Neurospora crassa OR74A: one gene and its partners. The protein of the gene in region 1 interacts with the protein of each later gene in a pairwise test. Links are inferred from orthologs where the notes say so. Each region holds a gene or a part of one and is shown on either strand. Other genes may lie near its edges.

Evidence for each region.
Region 2: the proteins of NCU01301 (region 1) and NCU05289 interact in binary tests that used the Saccharomyces cerevisiae proteins (3 or more experiments, as listed by UniProt). The link is inferred for Neurospora crassa OR74A from reciprocal best matches to the Saccharomyces cerevisiae genes LOC1 and NOG1.
Region 3: the proteins of NCU01301 (region 1) and NCU11175 interact in binary tests that used the Saccharomyces cerevisiae proteins (3 or more experiments, as listed by UniProt). The link is inferred for Neurospora crassa OR74A from reciprocal best matches to the Saccharomyces cerevisiae genes LOC1 and DRS1.
Region 4: the proteins of NCU01301 (region 1) and NCU09528 interact in binary tests that used the Saccharomyces cerevisiae proteins (3 or more experiments, as listed by UniProt). The link is inferred for Neurospora crassa OR74A from reciprocal best matches to the Saccharomyces cerevisiae genes LOC1 and NOP16.
Region 5: the proteins of NCU01301 (region 1) and NCU06090 interact in binary tests that used the Saccharomyces cerevisiae proteins (3 or more experiments, as listed by UniProt). The link is inferred for Neurospora crassa OR74A from reciprocal best matches to the Saccharomyces cerevisiae genes LOC1 and RRP14.
Region 6: the proteins of NCU01301 (region 1) and NCU01257 interact in binary tests that used the Saccharomyces cerevisiae proteins (3 or more experiments, as listed by UniProt). The link is inferred for Neurospora crassa OR74A from reciprocal best matches to the Saccharomyces cerevisiae genes LOC1 and EBP2.
Region 7: the proteins of NCU01301 (region 1) and NCU01524 interact in binary tests that used the Saccharomyces cerevisiae proteins (3 or more experiments, as listed by UniProt). The link is inferred for Neurospora crassa OR74A from reciprocal best matches to the Saccharomyces cerevisiae genes LOC1 and BRX1.

What each region holds. Positions count from the first base shown.
Region 1 is NC_026505.1:3,571,684-3,574,781, forward strand, and holds NCU01301 (60S ribosomal subunit assembly/export protein loc-1), read left to right. Parts: upstream 1-1,383; 5' UTR 1,384-1,512; coding exon 1,513-1,821; intron 1,822-1,930; coding exon 1,931-2,251; 3' UTR 2,252-2,598; downstream 2,599-3,098. Other genes in the region: NCU01300 (imidazoleglycerol-phosphate dehydratase), read right to left, coding at 172-584, 668-944; NCU01302 (hydrolase), read right to left, coding at 2,756-2,899, 2,954-3,082. UniProt on the Saccharomyces cerevisiae protein: Required for efficient assembly and nuclear export of the 60S ribosomal subunit. Involved in asymmetric localization of ASH1 mRNA.
Region 2 is NC_026504.1:5,445,564-5,449,654, forward strand, and holds the start of NCU05289 (nucleolar GTP-binding protein 1), read left to right. Parts: upstream 1-1,291; 5' UTR 1,292-1,483; coding exon 1,484-1,515; intron 1,516-1,571; coding exon 1,572-1,601; intron 1,602-1,702; coding exon 1,703-1,731; intron 1,732-1,796; coding exon 1,797-1,814; intron 1,815-1,884; coding exon 1,885-2,028; intron 2,029-2,130; coding exon 2,131-3,191; intron 3,192-3,262; coding exon 3,263-3,907; intron 3,908-4,000; coding exon 4,001-4,042; 3' UTR 4,043-4,091. Other genes in the region: NCU05290 (orotate phosphoribosyltransferase), read right to left, coding at 161-862. UniProt on the Saccharomyces cerevisiae protein: Involved in the biogenesis of the 60S ribosomal subunit.
Region 3 is NC_026503.1:3,110,186-3,114,172, forward strand, and holds the start of NCU11175 (ATP-dependent RNA helicase drs-1), read left to right. Parts: upstream 1-1,187; 5' UTR 1,188-1,358; coding exon 1,359-3,086; intron 3,087-3,143; coding exon 3,144-3,905; 3' UTR 3,906-3,987. Other genes in the region: NCU00234 (hypothetical protein), read left to right, coding at 1-701. UniProt on the Saccharomyces cerevisiae protein: ATP-binding RNA helicase involved in ribosome assembly.
Region 4 is NC_026505.1:4,474,525-4,477,973, reverse strand, and holds NCU09528 (nucleolar protein 16), read left to right. Parts: upstream 1-1,254; 5' UTR 1,255-1,423; coding exon 1,424-1,539; intron 1,540-1,620; coding exon 1,621-2,203; 3' UTR 2,204-2,949; downstream 2,950-3,449. Other genes in the region: NCU09527 (hypothetical protein), read right to left, coding at 3,298-3,449. UniProt on the Saccharomyces cerevisiae protein: Involved in the biogenesis of the 60S ribosomal subunit.
Region 5 is NC_026507.1:1,847,947-1,851,896, forward strand, and holds NCU06090 (hypothetical protein), read right to left. Parts: upstream 2,801-3,950; 5' UTR 2,563-2,800; coding exon 2,542-2,562; intron 2,420-2,541; coding exon 2,336-2,419; intron 2,226-2,335; coding exon 735-2,225; 3' UTR 282-734; downstream 1-281. Other genes in the region: NCU06089 (exonuclease), read right to left, coding at 3,446-3,950. UniProt on the Saccharomyces cerevisiae protein: Involved in ribosome biogenesis and cell polarity. Required for the synthesis of both 40S and 60S ribosomal subunits and may also play some direct role in correct positioning of the mitotic spindle during mitosis.
Region 6 is NC_026505.1:3,393,320-3,397,036, reverse strand, and holds NCU01257 (hypothetical protein), read left to right. Parts: upstream 1-1,439; 5' UTR 1,440-1,495; coding exon 1,496-2,450; intron 2,451-2,577; coding exon 2,578-2,933; 3' UTR 2,934-3,217; downstream 3,218-3,717. UniProt on the Saccharomyces cerevisiae protein: Required for the processing of the 27S pre-rRNA. Probably involved in the step of the processing of the 27 SA precursor into the 27 SB intermediate.
Region 7 is NC_026502.1:3,192,924-3,196,673, reverse strand, and holds NCU01524 (ribosome biogenesis protein BRX1), read left to right. Parts: upstream 1-1,430; 5' UTR 1,431-1,581; coding exon 1,582-1,727; intron 1,728-1,805; coding exon 1,806-2,023; intron 2,024-2,092; coding exon 2,093-2,706; 3' UTR 2,707-3,250; downstream 3,251-3,750. Other genes in the region: NCU01523 (GTP-binding protein ypt3), read left to right, coding at 1-35, 117-197, 270-409. UniProt on the Saccharomyces cerevisiae protein: Required for biogenesis of the 60S ribosomal subunit.

The DNA of each region.
Region 1 (3,098 bases):
CGCCAATTCGCAACATGTATCTGGTTTTCCATTCTTCACTTCAACTCTACGCCGTCGCTATAGCGAAATGATGGCAGCCGAACATGCGCGCAAAGTACCACGGTAAACGACATCACATGGTATCATTGCACTTCTATATCCAAACCTATAACTAACTCCCTTCCCACTTCCTTATACGCTGAGCGTTCCCTTGGTGCTAGGAACTTCACCCTCGCGACCCGCCACCCGGCTAGTAGCCTGCCTCGTGGCAACCGCAAGCGCCTTGAATGCGCTCTCAGCTCTGTGGTGGTCGTTGTCGCCGCGGAGGCAGTCGACGTGCACGGTAATGCGGGCAGCCCCGGCAAAGCTATGGATACAGTGGGGGATCATCTCGGTGCTGAGATCGCCAATCTTCTCGCGCTTAAGACCGAGGTCGACAACGGCAAAGGGACGGTTCGACAGATCGACGACGGCACGGCTGAGGGCCTCGTCGAGAGGGCAGTATGCGGATCCGAAGCGCGCGAGGCCGGTGGGTGTGCCGAGAGCCTTGGCAAAGGCGTAACCAAGAGCGATGCAGACGTCTTCGGCGGTATGGTGGTCGTCGACTATGAGAGGGACAAAGTCAATTCAGAGTTCTGGATGTTGTTCCACGAGGACTTCTGCGCCCAAGCCAAGTGTGTCTACTAACTGTGAAGGTCGCCCTTGCAAGCAAGCGCAAGACTCCAGCCGGCATGCTTGGCAAGCGCATGGAGCATGTGGTCAAGGAAACCAATGCCGGTATTGACGCTGATAGTTTGCGATTTGCTAGCCTGAGTGGCATGGCCGTCGGCGATACTGACGTTCAAGCGGGCGTCGGTCTCGGGAGGGAATGCGCCGCCATCAAGGTTGAGTGCGATCTGGATCTTGGTCTCGTTGGTGTCGCGTGCAAAGGCGGCCCAGCGGGGCGCGGGCTGTTCGGTGCTCATTTTGTCTGAATAGGGCGTCTGAGACTTCTGGGGACTGTAGACTCTTGGGATATCACCACGGCAGTGTGATCAATTGCGATGTAAGGATGGCGACAATAAAGGTGATCTTGGAAATTTTGGCGATTTCGGAGTGCCACCAGTGAGGGAACGCACCGATAGGCAATCGATATGGAATAGGTACCTCCACTAGTGCTGCCAACCCCGCGCTTACACTAGAAGGAAACTAGAGTTTCCTGCTCGCCTGCCGATCCCCAGCTGCCAATTAGAGATTTCAAGGCAGCCCCACGGCGAGCTGACAGACCCCACTGCCCCGTAACCGCGCTCAGCAGGCGTTGATACAGTGCTATATGCACAAGCTCTAGAGGTACCTTGGATTAACCGCGATAAGATAAGGCAGGGACCAATTCCGGTCCCAAAATTTTCCCCAGAAGTCGACCGAACTGAAGCGACAGCGTACAGGATACATTCGAGAGTATTCGTACTCCATCCACCCATCCATATCCCGAACCACCATTTCATCTATCGTTGATTTCTTACGACCTTATCAACGAATCAACCACAACTCACAATGGCGCCGACAAAAACGATAAAGAACAAGCACGCTGCGAACAAATCCGGCATCAAGGGCAGCAAAGATGCGGAGAGGTCGAGGAACGATGGAGTGCTCAAGTCCAAGGGAAAGCCGAAGGGCAAAGCTCACACTCTCGTGACTGCCAGCAAGGGCCGACCGAACATCCAGGAGCTTATCGCCAGGAAGAAGAAGAAGAAGACCTACAGCGAAAAGGAGCTTGCGATTCCGGAACTCAACATGATCACCCCCGTTGGTGTGACCAAGCCAAAGGGAAAGAAGAAGGGCAAGGTGTTTGTGGATGACAAGGTAAGCTGTCTTTCGTTAGCGTCTGGGGTCATATTGGTTTTTTGTTTTCTTGCTAGGTTTCAAGACCGGAAAGCATCAAGTAACTGACATGTTTTCCCCCTTTGTACAGGAGAGCATGGCCACTATCCTAGCCATCGTACAAGCAGAAAAGGAGGGCCAGATCGAGTCCAAGATGATCAAGGCGCGACAAATGGAGGAGATCCGCGAGGCGAGACGCGCTGAAGCCGAGAAGAAGGAGGCTGAGCGCAAGGCCAGACTCGAAGAGACTAAGGACTCGCTGCGCAAGAAGCGTAAGCGCAGCAAGCAATCGGGCGGTAGCAAGGGCGACGACGACGATGACTCCAGAGATGTCAAGGAGTTCTCGTCTGCGGGCACGAAAGCCGTTAAGTCGAAAAAGAAGAAGTCGGTATCCTTCGCTGCTCCCGAATAAATAATCAAGCAAGGATGCTGGGAGCTTTGAAGGTCCCTCCTGGGAATGGGCTGGGAGAATGAAGACAGGAAGGGTGGAAGTTTGTCGTGTAATACCTACACCAAGCATTTTTTCTTCGCATGTATGGCGTCTGGGCGTTTATATCAATCAAAGTCTGGCGGCGGGTAGGATGGCTTGGCTGGGGGAACAGTTCTGACTGATTTTGTGTGTGGAAATTAAAGATACCAATTGGGCACGCCAGCCTTGGTCCAGCCTCTTTTTCTCATGAGTCGGTAGATGTTATTAGGTGAAACCGTCAGGATGGTGTAGTTCGTGGCTCGCATAAGCCATCAATGAACGTACGTTCGAACCTGTATCCAAGTCGAAAGCGCGAATCTAAGTCTATGTGCAGCCCCAATGTGCCTTGAAGCGCGTCTAGACCCTTTAGGCCCAATCGATGGACCCATCTCTATAGCTAATCTATGTACAGTCTTCGTTCTTTTCAAGTGTTCATTCCACCACCATCTATTGATCCACATCGAGAATCTGCAACTTTCGCTGCACAGGGTCGAAGTGAGTTCTGAACTGGCTATCGAACTTGTCACAAGCATCCGGCTTGATGGCGTCCAAGTCAATATCGAAAGCCATCTTGTTCAGGAAGTTGCAGATCTAGACAACAAATCAGCAAAAAGTTACCGGAAAGTGAGGCAAAAAGAAACTTACAGGACGAGTATGCCATCGTCCGCCACCAAGTTCGAACCATGAAAGATGTCCGCCGAGAGACGTGAGGCAAAGTACCGTGTAGGGGTTCTGCTTGATCTCTTGGTAGGGAATGGCCTCCTCAACAGCGATCTAGTAATTTGTCAGC
Region 2 (4,091 bases), on another chromosome or scaffold:
ACAATCCCTATCCTTCTTCTTCTTCTTTTCTTTCTTCATCTTCTTCTTCTTGTAGAGTGTCAGCCACAGGTTTGATGTTGTGGCTATGGTCAGAGGGTACTGGGCGAACAAACCTGTGATATACATGTTACTAGTTTATCAGAGAATCCAACTCCAGCGTTTAGTCGGTAGCCTTGTACTTGGCGCGGTATTCCTCCGTCTTCTCGACGTCCTCAGGGGAGGCAAGACCCCTCATGCCCTCAATGATGTCGTCCAGAGTAAGGATGGCAAAGATGGGAATGCCGTACTCCTTGCGGAGCTCGCCCATAGCACTGGGGCCGGGCTTGCTATCGTCACCATCAGCGGCAGGGAGCTTCTCCATGCGATCAAGAGCAACGACGATGCCAGCGACAATGCCGCCCTCCTTCTCGATCTTGGCGATAGCCTCACGCTTAGCAGTGCCAGCAGTGATGACATCGTCAACGATGAGGATCCTCTTGCCCTTCAGAGGGGCGCCAACAATGTTGCCTCCCTCGCCATGGTCCTTGGCCTCCTTGCGGTCGAAAGAGTAGCAGATCTTGCCGTAGGTCTCGGGGTCAAGCTGGGCAAGCTTGTCGGTGGCAGCAGTAGCGAGGGGAATGCCCTTGTAGGCGGGGCCGAAAACAATGTCAAAGTCCAATTGGCCGCTCTTGTGAGCCTCGATAATGCACTTGGCGTAGGCAGTGGAGATGGCCTGGAGAAGGTCGGCACGGTAGAAGTCGCCGGCGTTGAAGAAGTAGGGGGAAATGCGCTTGGACTTGAGCTCGAAGCTGCCGAACTTGAGGACGCCGCCGTCGATGGAGGCCTTGAGGAAGTCAGCCTTGTAAGGCGAGAGAGCGGCCATTGTGCTGGTACGTAGTGTTTGTAGGATTGGAATTGAAGCTGAAAGAAGAAGAAGAGATTTCAGAAGAACAGCGTTGACGTCTGTCTGCCTGGCAACTGAATAGCTGGAGGAACCTGGGGAAAATTGAGAAAATGGAGGGAGGGGCCGAAGGAAGGGTTCAGTTCCTGGCGGCGTCACACGCGGCAGTCTTTCAACCGAGTCAATCAGATGGTGGGTTACGAGTGGGCCACCTAGTTCCAGGAGCCAGGCCCGCGAAAGCCCGGTCATCGGCCACTTGGGCGCGGTGGGGTCCCTGAAAAAATGTGGGGTTAGAAAATCCTAAATTCCACACTAGCCGAATCCTTAAGCACCCCTTGGCAGCATGTCTTGGCAGCGCACACTACCTCTAGGTTCAATCCACTTTGGCACTCTGCTGTTATCTTATCGATTGGAGCAGCCGCTGGAAAAATATTTCGAAGTAGACTTTCCATTTGGCAGCGCAGCGCCTCCCCGTCGCCCTCCAACACCGCCCCCTCCCCCCGCAGCCGGTCTCTATCCTTCAGACCGTCCGTCCGACCTCATTGTCCTGCACTTCCAGTCCGAGATCTTCTCACCAGCAAGTGCTTGACATCTATACCCGAAATGACGTGGAAGGACATTGCCCCTGTGCCTACGTAAGGACATCTTGGTTGTTGTGTTGTTGTTTGGCATCGCTAACTCGCTTCTACAGGGCACAGGAATTCATCGACATCATCCTCTCGTAAGTCGACATCGGCAGCCCCCAACCACGACGATGCGAAGTCTTCGAGTTCGAGTCCAATGGCTTGGCCACGGTGGTGAAGGATATTAACTGTTCAACAGGAGGACACAGCGTCGCTTGCCGACTCAGAGTATGTTGTACAATGTGGAAAATTACGTGAAGCATGGCATGATCGCTAACCTTTACTTTGAATAGTTCGTGCTGGTTTCAAGAGTATGTCGTCTCGATATCCGATACTTTGTATGAGAATTCGAATAGATCATTGACACGCGACACCGAACAGTCAGCAGAATTAGAGCCTTCTACACCCGTAAGGTCAAGTTCACACAGGAAACATGCAGCGAAAAGTTCGGCGCCATCGTCTCGAGCTTCCCCATCCTCGCCGACCAGCATCCTTTCCACCGCGATTTGATGAACATTCTCTACGGTACGAATCCCGCGCTTCCCTGCGACAGGCGGTTTCAGCAACAGCGGGTTGTGAACCGCGCCTGGTCTTGTTGGGAATAGTGGCTGACAAGGTGATGGATAGATGCCGACCACTTCAAGGTTGCCCTTGGTCAGGTCTCGACCGCCAAGCACTTGATCGAGACCATCTCTCGTGATTACGTCCGTCTCCTCAAGTACTCGCAAAGTTTGTACCAGTGCAAGCAGTTGAAGAGAGCCGCCCTCGGTCGTATGGCCACCCTCATCAAGCGTCTGAAAGACCCTCTCGCCTACCTCGACCAGGTCCGCCAGCATTTGGCCAGATTGCCCGATATCAACCCTACCACCCGTACCCTCCTCGTTGCCGGCTTCCCCAACGTCGGCAAGTCTTCGTTCGTGCGCTCCGTCACCCGCGCTGATACCCCTGTCGAGCCCTATGCTTTCACCACCAAGAGCTTGTTCGTCGGCCACCTCGACTACAAGTACCTCCGTTACCAGGTCATCGATACCCCTGGTATTCTCGACCACCCTCTCGAAGAGATGAACACCATCGAAATGCAGTCAGTTACTGCCCTTGCCCATCTCAGAGCCGCCGTCATGTTCTTCATCGATATCTCGGAGCAGTGCGGTTACTCGCTCAAGGCCCAGTGCAACTTGTTTAGGTCCATCAAGCCCCTTTTCGAGAACAAGATGGTCTACGTTGTCCTGAACAAGATGGATATCAAGACCGTTGAGGACCTCGACCCCGAATCCCAGGCCGATCTCATGGACCTTACCAAGTCCGGCAACATTCAGCTTTTGCGCGCCTCTTGCGCTACTCAGGACGGTGTCCAGGAAGTCAAGAACACCGTTTGCGAGGCTCTCCTCGTTGAGCGTGTCAACCAGAAGTACAAGGCCGGTACCAGCAGCAACGGCACCATGGGCTCCCGTCTCACCGAGGTCATGTCCCGTATTCACGTCGCCCAGCCCGCCGATGGTGTTCTCCGCGAGACCTTCATTCCCGAGGCCGTCAAGGGTCTCAAGAAGTACGACAAGGCCGACCCCGAGAGGAAACTTCTCGCCAGGGATATCGAGGAGCAGAACGGTGGTGCTGGTGTCTTCAACGTCGATCTCAGGGAGAACTGGATCTTGGCCAACCCCGAGTGGAAGTACGACAAGATTCCCGAGGTCAGTATCTCTCGCATTCCGTCTCCCCCAAATTAAACCCGGTTACTAACATGTCACGCTTTGACGAACAGATTGTCGACGGCAAGAACGTCTACGACTTCATCGACCCCGATATCGAGGCCAAGCTGGCCGCTCTCGAAGAGGAAGAGGAGCGTCTCGAGAAGGAGGGCTTCTACAAGTCGGACTCGGACCTCGGCGACGAGTCGGAGGAGGAGATCCTGCAAAAGGCCGAGTACATCCGCGAGAAGCACAAGCTGATCCGCAACGAGGCCAAGATGAAGAAGTCGCTCAAGAACCGCGCCATAATCCCCCGGAAAATGCAGAAGAAGTCGTTCGCCCAGCTCGAGGACCACATCGACCAGCTCGGCGTCGACACCGAGGAGATCAACCTGCGCGGCCGTGCCCAGGTGCGCGAGCCCACTCGCGGCCGCTCGCTGGCCCGCAGCCGCAACGCCACCGAGGACCCCGACGCCATGGAGGTGGACACGCCCAAGAGCGCCGCCGAGCGTCTTCGCTCTCAGAGCCGTCCGGCCCAGCGTGGCCAGGGCGCGACAAACAGGCGCGACGACGGTGTTACTGGTGGTGTGGGCATGGACGGGGAGACAGCCCGCTCCAAGGCCGAGAGGGTGGCCAAGCTCGGCCAGCGCAAGATGAACAGGATGGCCAGAGCCGGCGAGGCCGACAGGCATATTGGTGCTACCATGCCCAAGCATTTGGTACGTCTTTTTTCTTTTCTTTTCCCCTTCCTTCAATCCCCCTTTTCTCTTTTCTCTTTTCATTCCTAAACTAACCACACATGTTTTCTATAGTTCTCCGGCAAGCGTACCGTCGGCAAGACACAGCGTCGTTAATTTGGATCGATGATCCATATATGTTTGGGTTGGGTTGGGTTGGGTGTGT
Region 3 (3,987 bases), on another chromosome or scaffold:
ACACCACCCCTCCTCCAACCGAAGCTCCAACTTCAACACCACATCTTCCTCTTCCTTCAGTTCCTACTACGCTCCCACGACCAAACCCAACAACCTCACAAACCCAACGGCCACAGCCCCCATTAATCGTCTCATATGGACCCAACCGAGTAACGCCCACTCCAGCTGTGACTTCGCCTACAGTGCCTCCCGACGAGTCTATGATTGAAAGACCACCTAGAGGAGTTGAATTACAAGGCGAACCCGCATCTCTGATGGAAAGGAGACATCCATGGGAGGACATTGATCTCCCGAGCGCCAGTAATAACGGTCCTTTACCACCATACGCATCGACAGAGGAGTACGCTGCAATGGAAAGCGGCGCGATCCGTAAGCTGGAGGAGCCAAGGGCGCATGCTGAGCTGCCACCAACCAAAGATGGCTACTATCATGCTACGTGGGATATTGTTGAGCACGAATTGCCAGGTGACGGATATCAACGAGACCCTCTCTACCCGCAAGCATCCGCGTCCGGACGTGGAAGGGATATCGATGAGCAGAAATTCTTGCTGGATGATGTTGAAATGGCGCATTTGAAGGCGCAGAAAGAACGAATCCGCGCTGAAATGAAGAAGAAGCAGAAGCAGAAGGAGACTTACCAGCAGGACCAGGGGCATGACCAGGACTTCCTTGGAGCGTCGGCGAGCTTCTCCACACGGTAGCACGAGTGATAATGTGGCGGTCCATGTGAAGAAAGTTACGTTGTGGGCAACTGATGTTTTGGAGGCGAAGGTTTGAGGATTAGCATTATACCATTGGCAAGGTGTCTGGCGTTCATTTTGGGTATCGACGGGGTAGATGACTCCTGTGTAGTATCATCATATAATACGGGCTGATACATCTGCGTTGAGAATAGCTGGACCATATGCCCCGCACAAGTATAAATATAGTCCTACTGTAGTAAGGACAAGGTCCTCTGGCTCTATAACATGAACGCGTATTCAATTTCTTGGGACAATGTGGTGTTGAACGAGTTGCTCCCGAAGACGGCAGGTACTCACTTGATAGTTGAGATGGTACGTACCCATCCCCGCAGCTGTCGACCAGCTGCCACTGATAAGATCCCCAGATCCTCCAATCACATTGACCGCCCGGCAGAAAAAGTTACAGACGGGCATGGTTCCCAAATTTTTGTTTTCCCTTTCGTTCTGCGGCGGAGGAAGAGACGAAAAAAGACCCCACTGACTGCTATCAGTTGTACAATCTTGACGATTCCACCAATTCCCACTCAGCATCGGGAGCTTCCCGTCGTTCTCTTTTCCAACACAACACTACAGAACAAACAACGGTCACAGACCGTTGCAACACCATCCACCACAATGGCGCCCTCCCAAAAGCGCAAAGCGATCGACGACGATTTCATCCTCACCATTTCCGACAATGAAGAAGACATCCCACTAGAAGAGGAGCAAGAAGTTGTACCCAGGAAGAAGGCCAAGACGGCCACACAACAATCGAACAAGCAAAAGAAGAAGAACAACAAGAAGTCCAAGAAACAGCAACAGACTGAAGATGACGACGACGAAGCCGAAACAAAAGAAGACGACGCCGCCGACCTCGGCATCTGGGGCGACAACGACGAAGACGACGGCGCCATGGATACCGAGTTCCAGTTCGTTGTCGACGGCCAGAACGAAGTGGACGCCGAGTTCGACGGCTGGGGTTTCGAGGGCGCGCACAAGGGTGTTGTGAAGGGCGCCAACGCGGGCGGGGACAAGAAGGCTGTGGATATCGATGAGATTATCAGAAGGAGGAGAGAGAGGAAGGCTGCTAAGGAGGGGAAAACCACGGCGACAAAAGAGGAGGAGGATAAGATGGAGGTTGATGAGGAAGAAGACGACATAGAAGAGATTGATGTGGATTTGGATGATGATGAGGATGGTGTCTTGGCTGACGATGCTTTTGGTATGGGTGTTGGGTCGGACGTGGAAGAGGAGGAGGAGAAGCAGGATGCGAAGATGGGGGGTGTTGATGGGGAGGATGAGGATAGTGAGGGTGAAGATGGGGAGAAGAAGGGAGAGGATGAAGACGAGGGCGATGCGTCGGATGATGACTCGGTTGCTACGGCCGTTGAGCATCCTGATGATGTGCAGTCATCGGATGATGAAGAGGGTATTGATGAGGAGGAGGAGGCCAAGATGAAGGAGTTCTTTGCGCCGGAGGAGGAGAATCAGCCTAAGAAGAAGGGCGAGATGTCTTCGTTCCAGGAGATGTCTCTCTCCCGTCCTATCCTTCGCGGTCTTACTTCCGTGGGCTTCACCAAGCCGACGCCCATTCAGGCCAAGACCATCCCCATTTCGCTTATGGGTAAGGATGTCGTCGGTGGTGCCGTCACCGGTTCCGGTAAGACGGCCGCCTTCGTCGTTCCCATCCTTGAGCGTCTCCTCTACCGTCCCAAGAAGGTTCCCACCACCCGCGTCGTTATTCTTACGCCCACCCGTGAGTTGGCTATCCAGTGTCACGCTGTCGCTGTCAAGCTCGCCAGCCATACCGACATCAAGTTCTGTCTGGCTGTCGGTGGTCTCAGTCTGAAGGTGCAAGAGGCCGAGCTCCGTCTTCGCCCGGATGTGGTCATTGCCACTCCTGGTCGTTTCATCGATCACATGCGCAACTCTGCCAGCTTCGCCGTCGACACCATCGAGATTCTCGTCCTCGATGAAGCCGATCGCATGCTCGAGGACGGTTTCGCGGACGAGTTGAACGAGATTCTTACCACCCTTCCCAAGTCCCGCCAGACCATGCTGTTCTCTGCCACCATGACGTCGTCTGTCGACAGGCTCATTCGCGCCGGTCTCAACAAGCCTGTGCGCATCATGGCCGATTCGCAGAAGAAGACTGCCGGTACGCTTGTTCAAGAGTTTGTCCGTCTCAGACCCGGTCGCGAATCGAAGAGGGAAGGATATCTGTTGCACATCTGCAAGACTATCTACACGGAGCGTGTCATTATCTTCTTCAGACAAAAGAAGATTGCGCACAAGATGAGGATCATCTTTGGTCTGTTTGGATTGTCGTGCGCCGAGTTGCACGGTAGCATGAACCAGGCTCAGGTATGTTTACGATTTACGATGCTCCAGATGGATGAGTGATACTAACAGGATCCATAGCGTATTCAAAGTGTCGAGGACTTCAGAGATGGAAAGGTCAACTTCCTCCTTGCCACCGATCTCGCCTCACGTGGTCTTGATATCAAGGGTGTCGACACCGTCATCAACTACGAGGCTCCCCAGACCCCCGAGATCTACGTCCATCGTGTCGGTCGTACAGCGCGTGCGGGCCGCAGCGGTACCGCTATTACCCTGGCTGCTGAGCCCGATCGCAAGGTCGTCAAGGCTGCCGTCAAGGCCGGCAAGTCTCAGGGCGCCAAGATCAGCAGTCGCATCATCGATCCCGCGGACGCCGACAAGTGGCAGGCCGAGATCGACGAGTTGGAAGATGAGATTGAGGAGATTATGCAGGAAGAGAAGGAGGAAAAGCAGCTGCAGAACATGGAGATGCAGGTCAAGAAGGGCGAGAACATGATCAAGTACGAGGACGAGATCAGCTCGAGGCCCAAGCGCACGTGGTTCGAGACGCAGGAGGACAAGAAGAAGGCCAAGGCGGCGGGCCGGGCCGAGCTCAACGGCGTCAGGGACAAGCTCAAGTCCAAGAACGAGGGCAAGTTGAGCAACAAGGACAGGAAGAAGCTCGACACCATGCAAGAGCGCAAGCAGGAGAGGACATACAAGAAGGGCAGCGCCGAGAGAGCCGGTAAGGGCGCGGTGCTGAACCTCAAGAAGGTCGTCAAGAAGGTGGGACGGTCTGCTGGGCCTAAGAAGAAGGGCGGCAATGCTGGTAAGGGTGGTAAGGGCAAGGGCAGGAGAAAGTAAATGTGAGGAGCACGATTCTGTTGTTGTTGTTGAGTTTCTAAATGTAATTGAGCTTCAAGCTAAGTCTAGTGTGCTTTTGATA
Region 4 (3,449 bases), about 900 kb from region 1:
TCGTGTGTCCAAGTAGTACGTACATAAGTACTGAGAGGTATACCTCCTCGCCGCTACCACTCCCCACATCCCGCTCGACATGTATCCAACTACCCCCTCATTTCGACTAAACCTCATGGCTAACGAAGTCTACGCCTAGACTTAACAGGAAGGTGACTATCCCAAGCATGGCCCCCCTCATCAAGTTCTGAATATCTCCATGTTGCATTGAGGTTGGATGGGGTTGAAGAAGGAGGGGGAGGTGGGTAAGATGTTGAGTTCTGCTGCGAACTATGGGCTGGGCGTTTGAAGAGAGAGGAGTTGGGGAAGAAAAAGCAAGACCTCGGTCGCTGTCTAGGTACTTGTATAGGCAAACGTCTAGAACACCATGAAAGACAATTGGCTGGCCACTACAGTACACCTATGTATGTCGAACGGCTTCCCATTCTGCGCAGTGTTCTTCCGGGCTCTGATGGGCATTGGCCGGCATGTAGCAGGGTGATGATGACCGAGGCACTTGAAATGAACATGTCAACAGTTAGGTCGCATACTACCGAATGTCTTTGGAAGTACAAGGCTGACATTTGAAGGCGGGTTGGATTTGAATAAAAAAGAAATGAAATTTCAGGCATGACCCGCGTGCCTGCGTCGAATGGATAGTGGCGGGGGCCATGGAGGGTGTTTTGGGGATGGGATGAGACGGGAATCAAGTTGCCCTACCGGAAAACTTGCAAAGTGCGTAGCTAGTTATTTAGCAATGATTACAAGTCTGTTCATATCTCCAATGGGTAATGATCATGGTGACAATGGTGAGGTGGTGACTGGCGCGGCCGCTGGCGCCTCACCAGTTGCGAGCAGAACAAGAAGCCGCGGCTATGATGGCCGTGAAAGTTAGGGTCCAATTCCGAGGAAATAGTCGTTAGGTAAGTTGCCATCATCACCCTTGGGAGAAGGATTGTTGATGAACGAACTGGTGACGGCAATAAAGGCAAGCAAGATACAAGAGGATTAGAAACGGAACCTGAGGAAGCGGTATTTATGTACGTGCTTACATACAATACACCACTTACACTACCTAGGTACACACTTACGCAGTAGGGACTGTATCTTTATTACGGCCCTCTTGCCAGCTGGCGACTGGACTGAGGGAACGTACCCAAGCTTGCCAAGTAACGAACAACCTGTAAGGTCGATAAGGGACAACAGCCCCACTATAATTCTCTTATCGGACAGGAGCCATTGCAGTTCCAGTTCAATCGAGTTCTCTGGGGTGGTTTCCCCCGAAATTTTGGTCAACTTCCGCCTTCGTTGTTGTTGTCGCCGTCATCGTTCTTTGCTGGTTTACTCCCATTTCGCCTTCTTCTTCCCAGCATCTTTTGGCAGTCGAACTCCTGTCCTTTCAGCAACACCACATAGTACCTACTTCCCGAAAACCACAGCAACAATGGGCAGAGAACTTCAGAAGCGCAAGAAGCGCTCGTCTCGCGCCAAGGTCCAGACGCATACCATCAAGAAGAAGGTCTTGAACCCCCAGGGCAGCGGCATCGTTGCCAAGGCCTGGTAAGTACCTTTCTCTTCTTTTTGTTGCCAGATATTCGAGAGGAGATTCAGTACTGACATGCAAAAATTGATGTACTACAGGAACAAGAAGGAGACCCTCTCACAAAACTACTCCCGCTTCGGTCTCGTCGCCAAGCTCGGCACCGCCGCCGGCGGCATGGCCAAGAAGTCCGCCGCCGCCAACTACGCCGGCATCACCAAGGATGATCCTTTGGCCGTCAAGTCGGCCGATCGCGGCCTGTTCGAGGTCCGCGAGGTCAAGGTCGAGCGTGACGCCTCGGGCAAGATCGTCAAGGTCCTGCGCTCGGACAACCCGCTCAACGACCCGCTCAACGAGATCGAGTCCGACTCCGAATCCGAGGAACCCAAGCCCAAGAACCCAACCCATGATATCGAATGGCACGGCATCAGCGACGACCGCCAGGAGATGATTGCCCAGAGCAGCCGGCCCGAGGTGGTCCGGATGCTCGAGGAGGAGGCGTCGCGCCCTGTGGAGAAGACGGTGCGCTACCAGAGCGAGCGCGAGCTAGAATGGCTGCAGCGACTAGTGGCTAAGCACGGCGACGATGTAGCTGCCATGGTGCGCGACATCAAGTTAAACCCGATGCAGCAGACCAAGGGCGACATTACCAAGCGGTTGAGGAAGGCTGGCTTGTTGCAGTAAAGAAGCGGACGAAGAAACGAGGGAGGGGAAGAAGGGGGCAAATTGCATGCGCGAGTGTGATGTGAACTTCATCATCACTGGAATGTGACTGCTTCTTGCAAGGGGATGTTCTTGGGATCACCGGTGAGCTCGGTTTGTGGTCTGAAGATAAGGGTAGAGATGAGGGAGCCTGGCGACAAATGCCCGGACCCATGTCCAGTCTCGTCCTGTAAGCTGGGCTACGAGAGTCGGCGGGAGGGAGAAAGAGCGACCCAACACGGCTGATCCTTCAGCCGAGATGGCTCTGCTCGACAGGTCTCGAAAGAAGAGAGCAACGGATTTTGTCTTTCTCTCTTTGTCTCTCTTTCTCTCTCAGACTGGTATAATGCCAGTTAGACTCTCCCCGCTGTCGCCTCATCATACTTCGCTTCAGGGGGCGACCCTCTCGTGGAATGGGGAACTGGCAAAGAAACAGGTGACGGAGCTACTTCGGCTCGCGCTCCCTTGCTCAACGGTAATGAGCAAAAGCAAAACGGATGATGGGACGGGAACCAGGATTTCTTGTGCAGCATACATACTATTCATTAAGGCCACGGGCGTTTTAGGCGTTTCTCAAAGTACATGAAAAGAATTAGGGCCATTGAGCCATCCACATATATCGTATCATATCTTGTTTGTCACCTAGAATCATGTTCTACGTAGATCTCCACAAATATGGGAGAGTTTAATAAGAATGACACAGATACAAAGCATTCCATGAAGCCGATATGAGAGCTTTGTGATTCATTGTTGATGCACGAAGATATCTCTCTCGTTTCTATGCATGATAAACCAACAAGGACCTGTGACGCCTCGCCAACGACACCCCATAAAACAAAGCCTACACACATACATACACAAGAAAAAGCCCAAAATGTTTCGTCTAGTGCCAGCCAGCCCCCAATAACAAAAAAAAAGAAAGCAGGTAGCCAAGACACTTTGTACATGACCTAAGCATGCTGCAGCGTATAGCTACCCGGTATTGCATCCGCTTCCAGATCCAAAGTCGATCAGTCCAGCTCATCCATATCCCTTGACTTGAATTCTCGACCCTTCTGTTTTTTTTAATCCCATTCTTACACATTCCCCCGTTCGATTCCTACTCGGCCGTAGGGCGCAGTGGGAAACCTTGCCGATGGCTCATCCTCGTAGTCCCCATCATGCACACTAGGCGGCGCGTACCTGCTGCCGCCGCCGACGGAGGATTGATAATCGTTATCGTTGTCAA
Region 5 (3,950 bases), on another chromosome or scaffold:
TTAACCCCTTCCAAGCTTCCCTTGTGGAACGGAACACGGGTTGCTCCGATCATGATAAAATCGTGTAGCATCACCTAGAATTATGTCGGCTTCCAGGCGCCGTGTTAGTGCTTTGATTGCGAATAAAGTAGAGTCCGACCACCCAGCACTAACAGCACCTCATTTCACAGCTGGAATTTAACGCCTACACCGGAGAGCGCCTCGGTATCAGACAAGCAAGAAAGGGAAGCTATGCGTCTCACATCACCAATTCAAGTCACCGGACAAAAAAAGAGAAAAGACTCGGTGAGCTGATAATCACTTTTTAACTCCCTGAAGATGCTGCCTCGCTGAAGAAGAAGGGGGACCTCCAGCCCCTACCTCCTCCCTTCGCCACCACTACTAAAAGCTAGCTAAGTATAAAAGAACAAAAGACAAGGCTTGCCCAGCCTCGTACCATGTTAACCGCTTGTCGTGATCTGGTCCAGTTGTGATATGTACGTGTGATATAATCTCTTTTTCCATTCCGACCGTGCAAAGAAAAAAGAAACGAAAAACCATGAGGAAAAAAAACAAACGCCAAAAACACCACCTGTTACCCCCTTCCAGCAAGAAATATGTACGTAGCGACAAGGCAGAAGAATGGGAAAAGGATATGCCAGCCTCCCGAGCATCTGCCGCTATGCAGCAGCAGTGGTATCAACATCTCTCTCCAAAAAGACAAAACACCCCTTGCTGAACACCTTATCCGACGCTTATTTCTTCTTACCACCGAATCCGCCCTCGAATCCAGGCCTGCTCTTACCCTTGGAAGCACCTTTTCCTCCACCCTTACCGCCCTTGCCGCTCTTGACCTTGATGCCCATCTTGCGGGCCTTCTTCTCGTCCTGCTTCTTCTTGATGTTCTCCTCGCGCTTCTTTGACCTATCGTACTGGGCCTTGGCGACGCCCTCCTTGCGCTCTCTCCACTCATTGGCGCTCTTGCTCTTTGCCTTCTCCTTGCGCTTGACAGCCTTCTTGAGCAGGTGCTCGTCGTCGTGAACCTTCTCGCCCTCGGCACGCTTGCGAGCAGCGAGCCACGTCTCCTTCTCAAGGACTTCCTTGCGCTTATCTTCAGGCAAGGCCTCGAGGCGCTTCTTCTGCGCCTCAAGCTTGGCAAGCTTGGACTTGGCGTCCGTGGGGCCCTTCTTCTTGGTTCCGTCGGACTTGACAAAGGCGGCGTCACGAGAAAGCTGAACACCATCAGAGAAGGCGAGACGTCCGAAAGCAAAGTTGGTTTCAACATCGTCCTTGGGGCTGAGCATGCTTAGGGGAGAGTTGCGCGAGCTGGCAATAGCCTCTGACCGCTTCCGATCCTCCTCCTCCTTCTGCTTCTGTCTCTGCTCGCGCTTGTGGGCCTTGCGCTTGGCCTCCTTCTCGCGGCGCATCTCGATGAGTTCCTGCCTAGTGCGAATGGGCTTACCCTCGTCGTCCTTCTCAACCTTGCGAGCGGCACGGAGTTGCTCAATCTTGGCGGCGAGACGCTCGCGGAGAACCGTGGTATCGGCGGGAAGCTTGAACTTGGGCTTATCCGATGGGGGAACGGCGGAAGAGATCGAGGTGTTGGCGCTGGCAGGCTCGGCGGAACCGGCCTTGTCGCGACTGTCGAAAACAGAAGATTGAGCGGATTCCTGGGACTCGCCCTCATCCTCCTTTGTTACGAGACCAGACACATCAATGGGAGCCATATCGTCGTTCTCGTCGTCCTCGTTAGCTTCGGTAGAAGGCTTGGCTTCTTCGGCGGTGTCGTCCTTCTTTTCCGTCTTTCCACCCTTGCCTAGTTTCGCCTCGAGCTTGGCCTTCTTCTTCTCCTGCTTGGCCAGCTTTGCGAGACGCTTGGCCTCCTTTTCTTGCTCCTTCTTGCTCAAGGGCTTCTCAGCGGGGACGGCCTCCTCCTCCACCACCTCCTCCTCCTCCTCGGAAAGCTTCTGCTTTTTAGGCGCAGACTCTTCTGTCTCGGCGTCGTCTTTGACGACCCTCTTCTTCAGTCCTTCAAGAGGCTTCTCCTTCTCAACACCAGGGATTTCGACGTCGATGTCGCTGTCTTCAGTGCTGCTCTCCTCCATTTCCTGGAGCTTGCGCTTGTTGCGGGCGCGCTCCTCCATGACCTCCTTGGCGTTGCGGTTGAGTTCACTGTCGGGATCGAGCTTCCCCCGCTTAGCAGCTTTTGCCTGCTCCTTGGTTTGCTTCTTCTTCTTCCACTGATCCTGTTGGCGGGGTTACTTGGGATCAGCGACGCGATCGAAGGCATTTTGACACCAACATCAATGGTTGAGTTTATGATGAAGAGCTAAGTCAACGGGTGGGGGTAACGTACACTATTGTCCTCGCCGTAGTACATCTTGGCTGGGATCAGCGACAGTAGACCGTCAAAGGCCTGAGCGTGAGAACGCAGGCGCTCCTGTTCGCAATCGCAAGACGGCATGGTCAGCGTCGAACTCTAGCCATCCCAGTTTGGCCACAACTACCAGCCCATGGGTATCACCGTATCGGTGGTGTGCATTCCAGCGCCGGTCTGCTTACCTGCAAATCGGTATCCGCCATCTTTGCACACGCTGGTTTTCGCTTGTACGAGTCGACCTGGTTGATTGCCAGTCGCTAAAATAGAGAGACCTAGGTGATTGAGGCGACAAAGAAAGTCGAATCCGGGATTTCGCTGTGATGGGGTTGTGAGTGATGTCGAGCGGGCGGAATAATGGTCGAGGTAGTATGTCGAGGTATCGAAACGAAACCCAGATGGAAAAATTGAGACAGTGGAGGGCGGGTCGGCTGTGGTCGAGCGACTGTTTCCCGTCTCGATGAATTTTTGTTCGCCAGTGGATTACAGTGAAATTTTAGTGGATTGTTCCCAGCAGTGTGGAGCCCCCCAGCACCTTGCCCCACACTTTCACGCTTGGGGTTCTGGCATTCTGCCAAAGGCGGTGAACTGCCCTGGCACCTACTCATCGATCTTATCGCGGTTAGAGGGATACTTGCCTATTCTAGCACGCTCCCGTCTACCTCGTGTATAGTATACCTATAGGATTTATGTTTGGATCTGATGGTGACATGTCTCCTGACAGTGTCTTGACAGGTGCAACAGTGTTCCTTCATCATGGTTACCATTGTTTGTTTATTTCCTACTAAAGTGATATAGCTACCTTCTGGACAAAGGCCATCAATGAATGGCCCATCAGGGCAATGTTATCGCATAACAGGCAATAGAAGTTCTCCTCATTTACTTCAGCCTGCTCTTTCCATGATTGCCTTCTTTGCCTGATAATACTCCTGACCCATGATCTTTCCTCGTTTCCTTACAACAGACCATAGTACAATTCAAGCCCACCCATTTTCCAGGCGGGGTTTCTTCCTTACCGATACGCCGAGAGCTATGCACACCACATATCTGGCTTCTCCTAATACACTCCAGAGAGCACGAGTTGGGGGCTCACGAATACAGGTACTGCGCCAAGTTAAGTCGCGGACGAGTGGCTGCCGTGCCCAATTCGGTTTCTCCATCACTCTCAGGAATAATCTGATCCTCGCTCCCCTGAAGCGACATGTTCAGGGCTCTAACTTCAGCAAAGTCGGCCAACGGCAACGGAATGGCGGCGGGATCCACCTGGACGGAGCCGAGAGCCTCGCTCGGCTTGCTTGATTTACGTGCGCGGAGGCTGCTAGGAGGCGTGGCGCGGGGTGTAACTTGCTTCAATGCCCGGGCTCCCATGCGTTGCAACGGAGTCAACATGGGCGAGCTTGGATTCAACGATGATCTACGCACCGCAGCAGATCTCTCTTGGGTTGAGGAAGGTGTAGGCAGACCATTGACAAGGCGAGCACCGGGTTTACCTGGTTGATACGAGAATTGCCGGAGCCGAGGGCCCAGCGGCGTCTGGGATTTCACACTTTTCTTGGTGATGGCCTCTTGCGATGATGAGCCAGGAACTTCCACT
Region 6 (3,717 bases), about 180 kb from region 1:
TGCTTCATGGTGGACTCTGCACAATGGGAGCACCCACTGACAACATCCGGAGCGGTGAGGATCTTTCCTTGATGGGAATGGAAAAAACCTTTGTCAACCGGGGATATACATCCGCACACATCACACACACCATCCTTTCACATAAACGACTTTCGCTTCTTTTTGTTGGGGATAACTTCACACGGGACTACTTTTCGTCCACACGGAGCTTTCCCTCTTCAATTTTCGACACTCAGGCAACTCACCTTATCTTTCTGGACCCTTTCTCTCTTTTGTCGTTGATTCGACACCAAACACCCTTTGCGGACTGAGGACATCGCCGGCGGGAAACGATGCAGCAACTTCTCTTTGGTTCACACTCTTCGGCAAACGTCACCTGGGAGTCGGCGGACTCACACCTTCCAACCTCAACCTCTTCCATCTGCTGGGAGGGAGCTATTTCGCGACATGCTTCTCTCTTTTGTTGGGTGGGACTTGCACGGGCTTGGGTATGGCGCTTGGTTCACCACTCCTTTTTCTTTGCGCACTTTCTTGGAATTTTCTTGGATAGGACTGTAGAGGAGGGAAGTCTTCCTTTCTGTCTTGGCAGGGAGGGGGGACTCGCGGGATGAAATTTGTGGAGGGGGAGGACCATGTGGGGAGTTTTCACTGTATCTTTCTGATCTTGGTTTGCGGAGGGGAGGGATTGTGGGGGTGAGTTGGCTTGGTTGAAGGATTTGAAGAGTGTTAGTTCTTTTAATAAAAAAAAAACCCCGGTTGACACCATATCTTTGGATGCTCTCATGACCGTGACTACCTCTATGATTGTGAATTTCATTATCATCGTATGCCTCTTCGTAAGACTTTTCAGAGCAACTGACTTTAGTGATAAAGCTGTCAACTTGCAAATGGAACGCTTGATCGATCATCAAGGCAAGATACGCGGAGGAATGGCCTCGGCTCCGAGAAAATATACTACATCCCATTACATGTATCAGCTCGACGTCCCAGACATATTTCTGATCTGTTTCGGCCAGGTTAGGTTCGTGATGTTTGCGCGGGACAAGGCTCCTCCACTGAACGCGAAGTTTGATGTATCAGGAGACTCGTGTTGAATCACCTTGACACAGGCTGCGGGTAGCTTACGAGAAACTGGGCAGAGATACACAGGGCATGGTGATATACACTAGCAATCAATCTTGAGATCACCGAGAAAACGCAGTTCGGTGGGTGACCATCACCGTGACTACAGGCCCATTGTAACTCGTAACCTGAGGGTTGGGGTTTGATGTGCCAGATTCAGAGAGAGTGTGAAGGGCACTTCCAGGAGCTGGGCTGTGGATACCTCTATGCCGGGCGCCAAGCATCCACATTTGGGTCCGCCTCCGACCCACCAGGCTTATCTTATCGGGTAATGGCAGCCGCCATGTCAAAAAAAAGTTTCCAGAACTGCAAGCGCTGCCGCTTCTCGAGCTCATCATCCAAATCGATTGTACAGCAACCCCACATAATCACAATGCCGCGACAGTCCACCCGCACAAAAAAGCCGGCCACCAAGGCTCTTGAGGCTGAGAAGATCGAGAAGATTGTTGAAGAGAAGCCCCAGAAGGAGCAGAAGAAGCGTGGCAGAAAGCCCAAGCAGGTCGTCGAAGAAACCCCTGTAGAGGACAAGATGGATGTCGAGGAGGAGCAGAAGGCGGAAGAAACCACCACTCAGACCAAGGCCGACGAGAAACCAGAGCAACAGGAAGAGGCCGGTTCAGATTCTGAGGAGGGTAGTGACGACGAAGAGGACAACGATCTCGATCTTGATGCACTTGACGAATCCGATTCCGACTCAGAATTCGAGCGCGACCTGAACGAGAAGCAATCCGCCGCCGGCATCCAGGCAAACAAGTACCAGAAGGCCGCCGAGGAATCGAGCGACGAGGAGGAGGACGAGGATGAGATCGACATTGATGAGCTCGACGTCGACGGAGAAGAAGGAGAGGAAGTCAAGGCCATTTCGAGGGCGCGCCAGACAATAAACAACAAGCAAGGTCTCCTGACGGCGCTCAAGCGCTTCGCCCTCGACACAACCGACAAAGTCCCATTCGCCTTCCACCAGTCCATCGTTGCCAAGAAGGTGACGGAGGAGTCCATCCCCTCGATCGACGACGACCTGGCCCGCGAGCTGGCCTTCATGAACCAGGCGCTCGAGGCCGCCCGCGTCGGCCGCGCCCTCCTCCGCAAGGAGGGTGTCCCCTTCACCCGCCCTACCGACTACTTTGCCGAGACGCTGCGCAGCGACGAGACTATGGAGAAGGTCAAGGCCAAGCTTATCGAGGAGGCCACGGCCAAGAAGGCCTCGGCCGAGGCGCGCAAGCAGCGCGACCTCAAGAAGTTCGGCAAGCAGGTGCAGGTGGCCAAGCAACAGGAGCGTGCCAAGCAGAAGCGTGACACACTCGAAAAGATCAATCTTCTCAAGAAGAGTACGTGCCTCTCCTACCCTTCTCCTTCCCCTTCCCTTCTTAATTCCATAACAAGTTCTCTTCCTCTTCCTTCCCCTCCCCAACTTGATGATAACTGAAGCCAACTAACCTCCGCCTCCTTAAATAGAGCGCAAGGACGGCGGTGGCCCCACCGGCGCCAACGAAGCCGAAGACCTCTTTGACGTTGCCGTCGACAACGAGCTCAAGGGCGGCCCTGGCGGCAACAACAGCAAAAAGCGCGGCCGCGACGGCAAGGAGGGCGGCGGGCCCAACGCCAAGAGGCAACGGAAGGATGCCAAGTTTGGCTTCGGCGGCAAGAAGAAGTACGCCAAATCCAACGACGCCCTCTCGTCGGGCGACGTGAGCGGGTTCAGTGCGAGGAAGATGAAATCGGGCGGCCCAGCAGGCGGCAAGCCCAAGAAGTTCAAGCCTGCGCCTAGGCCTGGTAAGGCTAGGAGAAAGGCGGGGGCTGGAAAGAGGTGAAGTGAGTAAGCTTCACTGTGGCAGGAGCGAGAAGAAGCAGTGGAAGTGAAGAGCGGTGTCGATGCCATGATGGGTAATCTGTTTAGTTTCCAACCTAGTACAACAAAAGGTCAGCACGGCAGGTTGGTGACAAAGGTGGTAGTAGCGTGTATGAGTATACATCATCATGGGACCGGTCATACAACAAACATCATTGAAGGATTCAGATCAATTCAGTAGCCACTACCTTTACTTAGATACCTAAAGAGTTCTTTTCATGCCTTACAGTTTGATGGTGTTACCCGCTTGGCTCAAAGGTCCTTTTCTCATATCATTCATCTTGCAGAATGGCTATATCCGTTCACCCGAACAAACGGGTTCCTTACTTTCACCTTCATTCAAAGGCCCCCGATGTCGGCTCGTGAACAAAAACAAATCTCGGTCACTACAGTTTGTGAGAGTATCATCCTGTCACGGACGAGCCGCGCAAGGGCCATCGCTACTTTAAGACTAGGTACTTCAGATACACTAATACACGAGACATCCCCCTTTCACTCCTCGAACCCGCATGGTAAGGGGTTTGATGCGCAACACCATCGTAACGCCTGCTTGCTGCTATTCATCGAGACGAGCCTAAACCCAAACCCAGATTCAGACCCAAATAGACCTGGGAAGACCCATAACCACCAACGCCAGACATAGACCCGCCTTTCCTGAAGCTACAAGCAAATAGAAGAAAGAAACAACAACACAAAGAGCGGCTCATCCAATTCAACCCCACCGCTGTGTGGGATTAGGACGAAAA
Region 7 (3,750 bases), on another chromosome or scaffold:
AGCCGTACCCACGGAGGACGCCAAGAAGTTTGCCGGTACGTTGCGCGTCACAGCCATGATGACATGGTCGCTTGGGAAAGCCGTATCGCCAGGATGACTGACAGAGAGAACTGCAGAGGAAAACCACCTATCCTTTATCGAGACTTCGGCTCTCGACGCCACAAACGTCGAGCTTGCGTTCCAAAACATTTTGACTGGTAACGTTTGCCCAAAGCCTACAGCTGCTGCTCTGGCGCGAGCCTACCGCTAACATGCGATCATTTATCTAGAAATCTACAAGATCGTGTCGACCAAGAACTTCGACAACGGCCCCAGCGGGTCCAACGAGGGCCACCAAAACCTGTCTGGCCAGAGCATCTCGCTCAGTCAGACCGCGAACGACCCCCAGGCGAAGTCTGGCTGCTGTTAGGAGGTGCTTGATTCTCCGGGCCGGGAACCGAGTGGCCCTGAAGGGTTGAGGTGCAGGGTGCAGCAGAGTACAACAGGGTGCCGAACCAACAACGGCGTCACATATGTCTGACATGAAGCAATGGAGGCTTATGATGAGCAATGAAGAGCAGCATCGGGGGAAAAGTACGGACGGATCCTGCCCAGTCTTATTACATCACGGTCGCCGATGGGATGGTCTGTTTTTCTTTTTCTCTCTATTTTTTTGGGCTTTTGGGGAGGGGGGAAAGGATCATGATGCTCGTCTTCCAGCCTTTCCTTTTTGTTGTTATTACTACTACTACCCCTTTCTTCCCTTTTCCCCCCGTGCTGGTCGTTGGAATTTTCCTCAATGTGGTTAACGAAGCCATCACTTGCGCATGGATTACGAAAGATATTATTTAGTTGAAATGAACTATGGGCGATAAACAGCCCTTAACTCAACCTGGTACATATTGCTCCACGTTGTCAAGGTCTCCATCTATTGCATCCACAATGTGGGAGAAGAGGAGTACCTCGAGAGTGAGTACCTATGTAGCGATAATCGTGCAGGATCTCGTTATGACATTCAAGTTGATTATGTGCGACAGCGGGAAACAGTCAATACAAATTAAGACATCTGGGCTTGCCTGATGGATTATGGCGACTGTCCCTCATTACTCCCATCGCGTCACCCGAGGCGGTTGAAGTGGGTTTGAGTGCGGACAAGAGGCCAGTCCCGTCCCATCCCCCACTGTAGGGCAGACAAGAAGAACGCGTGGAACTTGGACAGTGTGTGTAGGCAATGGAATCCCCAGAACTTGGGGGTCCGGATTCCAGGTTGGGTCCATCAGTGGGACAAATGCGGGTTGCCCAGACCGCCGACCGCCTTTCAGCTGTTCCAAGCAGGGGGGCCGGAACAGGGACGCTAGTAAGATAAGAGAAGCTTATCGGAGTGGGGCTGCGATTGGCCGGCGAACTTTTTTTGAGATGGAACAGCCTGCACTCCATCACTGCGCTTCGCCCGCGACGTTCGTGGATTGGAGCATTGAATTCACCTTTGCAATCCGCATTCCGTTTTTCTGCCATCACTTCCACCACAACCACCACCAACTTCAGTCACCCTTGTTTTTCGCCCGATTTTGATACCCAAAGAACGACAAGAACAAAAAGAAAATGGCCGCCGTTTACAAGTCGCTCTCGAAGAGCGCCAAGAAGGTCGAGGACACGGAGAACGACAACAACACCACCACCACCAATGGCGGCTTTCGGAAGAACAAGCAGAGAGTTCTGATTCTCTCGTCCAGAGGCGTTACCTACAGGTACATATAGACCCTGCATACCTGCAAGATGGAAGAAGAAAGGGTCAATTGCTAACCGCCTTTGCGCCCCGAGTACAGACACAGACATCTCCTCAACGATCTCGCAGCGATGCTCCCCCACGGCCGCAAAGACGTCAAGTTCGATTCCAAGTCCAAGCTGTACCAACTGAACGAGCTTGCCGAGCTCTACAACTGCAACAACGTCATGTTCTTCGAGGCGCGCAAGGGCAAGGATCTGTACATGTGGTTTAGCAAGGTTCCTAACGGCCCTACGGTCAAGTTCCACGCCCAAAACTGTGAGCACTATCCATATCCGAGATACGCATTGTGAAAGAGGAAAAATCGGGTTCTAACAAAAAGCACAGTGCACACCATGGAAGAGCTTCACTTCACGGGTAACTGCCTCAAGGGCTCGAGGCCACTCCTCTCCTTCGACCTCGCCTTCGAGCAAGAGCCGCACTACCGCGTCATCAAGGAGGTGTTTCTGCAAATGTTTGGCGTCCCCCAGGGCGCGCGCAAGTCAAAACCGTTTATCGACCACGTCATGAGCTTCAGCATTGCCGACGGCAAGATCTGGGTACGCAACTACGAGATCCGAGAAGTGGAGAAGGCCAAGGGCGAGAAGGACAGCGAAGGAAACGACATTGTCCCCGAGAGCGACAAGTCATCATCGAAAAAGAGAAAGGGCGCGCCCAACGCGGAGCTCAAGGACACAGACGTCAGTCTGGTTGAGATCGGACCTCGGTTCGTCCTAACGCCCATCATCATACAGGAGGGCGCGTTCGGCGGCCCCATTATTTACGAGAACAAGCGCTTTATCTCCCCCAACCAGGTGCGCTCGGAGCTGCGCAAGGCCAAGGCGACCAGGCACAACACCAGGGTGGAGCAGGTCAAGGAGAGGCTCGGCAAGCTCGAGACCCTCACGGCCCAGGCGAAGAAGGAGAAGGATGTCTTGGATACCCGGGAGCTCTTTGCTTAGAGAAAGGAGGAGGAGGGGAAAGAGAGAGAGAGAGCTTTTCACAACACGATTTCATCACGTCTGTTCGCTTGCGACACATCAAAGCAACGCACGCCTTAGGTTTAGGGGTAATCAAGGAGTTTTTTGTACTTTTGCTGGCTGGCTGGTTTGGTCTGGTTCGGGAAAAAGAAAGGAAATCGATTTGCATTGTACAACATTACAGTATTCGTGGGGATGTGTGAGACGGACGAGCTGTCCTCTTTTGACAGTTGGGAAAGAGGATCATGATCGAGTGGTAGATGAGCACTCAGCGTATAAGGTGCTGGCTCGAAAACGGACACATCAGATCAAGATTGAGTGATGAACGCCGTCCTGGCTCCGGTCTTGGTCGTGTTGAAAGGAGATGGTCAAAGAAGGGTAGGAGAGCAAGTACTTTGCTCGGCACCTCACTAGCGGTTGACTGTCTATAACCACACTCCTGAGGGAGATGTTGTTCGCATAGGACCTAGACTCTACCTTAAATGCAGTTGCGCTGTGAGATATTGTCTCACATTTTTGCTCCATGATTTGGGTTGTTTCCATATATATAAGAGACACGAGGTGTCTCTTTCGTTGAGTTGTTGGGATGATATCACCACCTTCAGTACACTCCTCAAGGAGAAGAAGAAGAAAAAGTACCATGTTTTGTCCCAAGGTAGCTTTGGGCGACATCGTCCCAAATTTCAGATTTTCTGACGGACTAGCCATCTTCTCAGGGGCTTTGGGTCGTCTAAGTCATGTAGTGTGCCTGGGAGTTGGCGCGAGTTTGGTGCTTCTTGAAAACAAGAGATAAGGACTGGAGCCGATACCTAGGACGTCGCTCCTTAAAGCGAAAGACAAATGGCTTGAGTCTAATGTTGAACACGTATGGCTAACGCTTTTGATCAAAATTTAGAAGCAAAAAAAACGACTCGGAGTACTTTGGTCATGACTCAGGTTCACTCATCGATATCGGAGGAGAGAGTTGAGGATAGGTTGTAGAGGGTTCACTTCACTCATTGTGAAAGTTCGCTACAGGGGACCTGT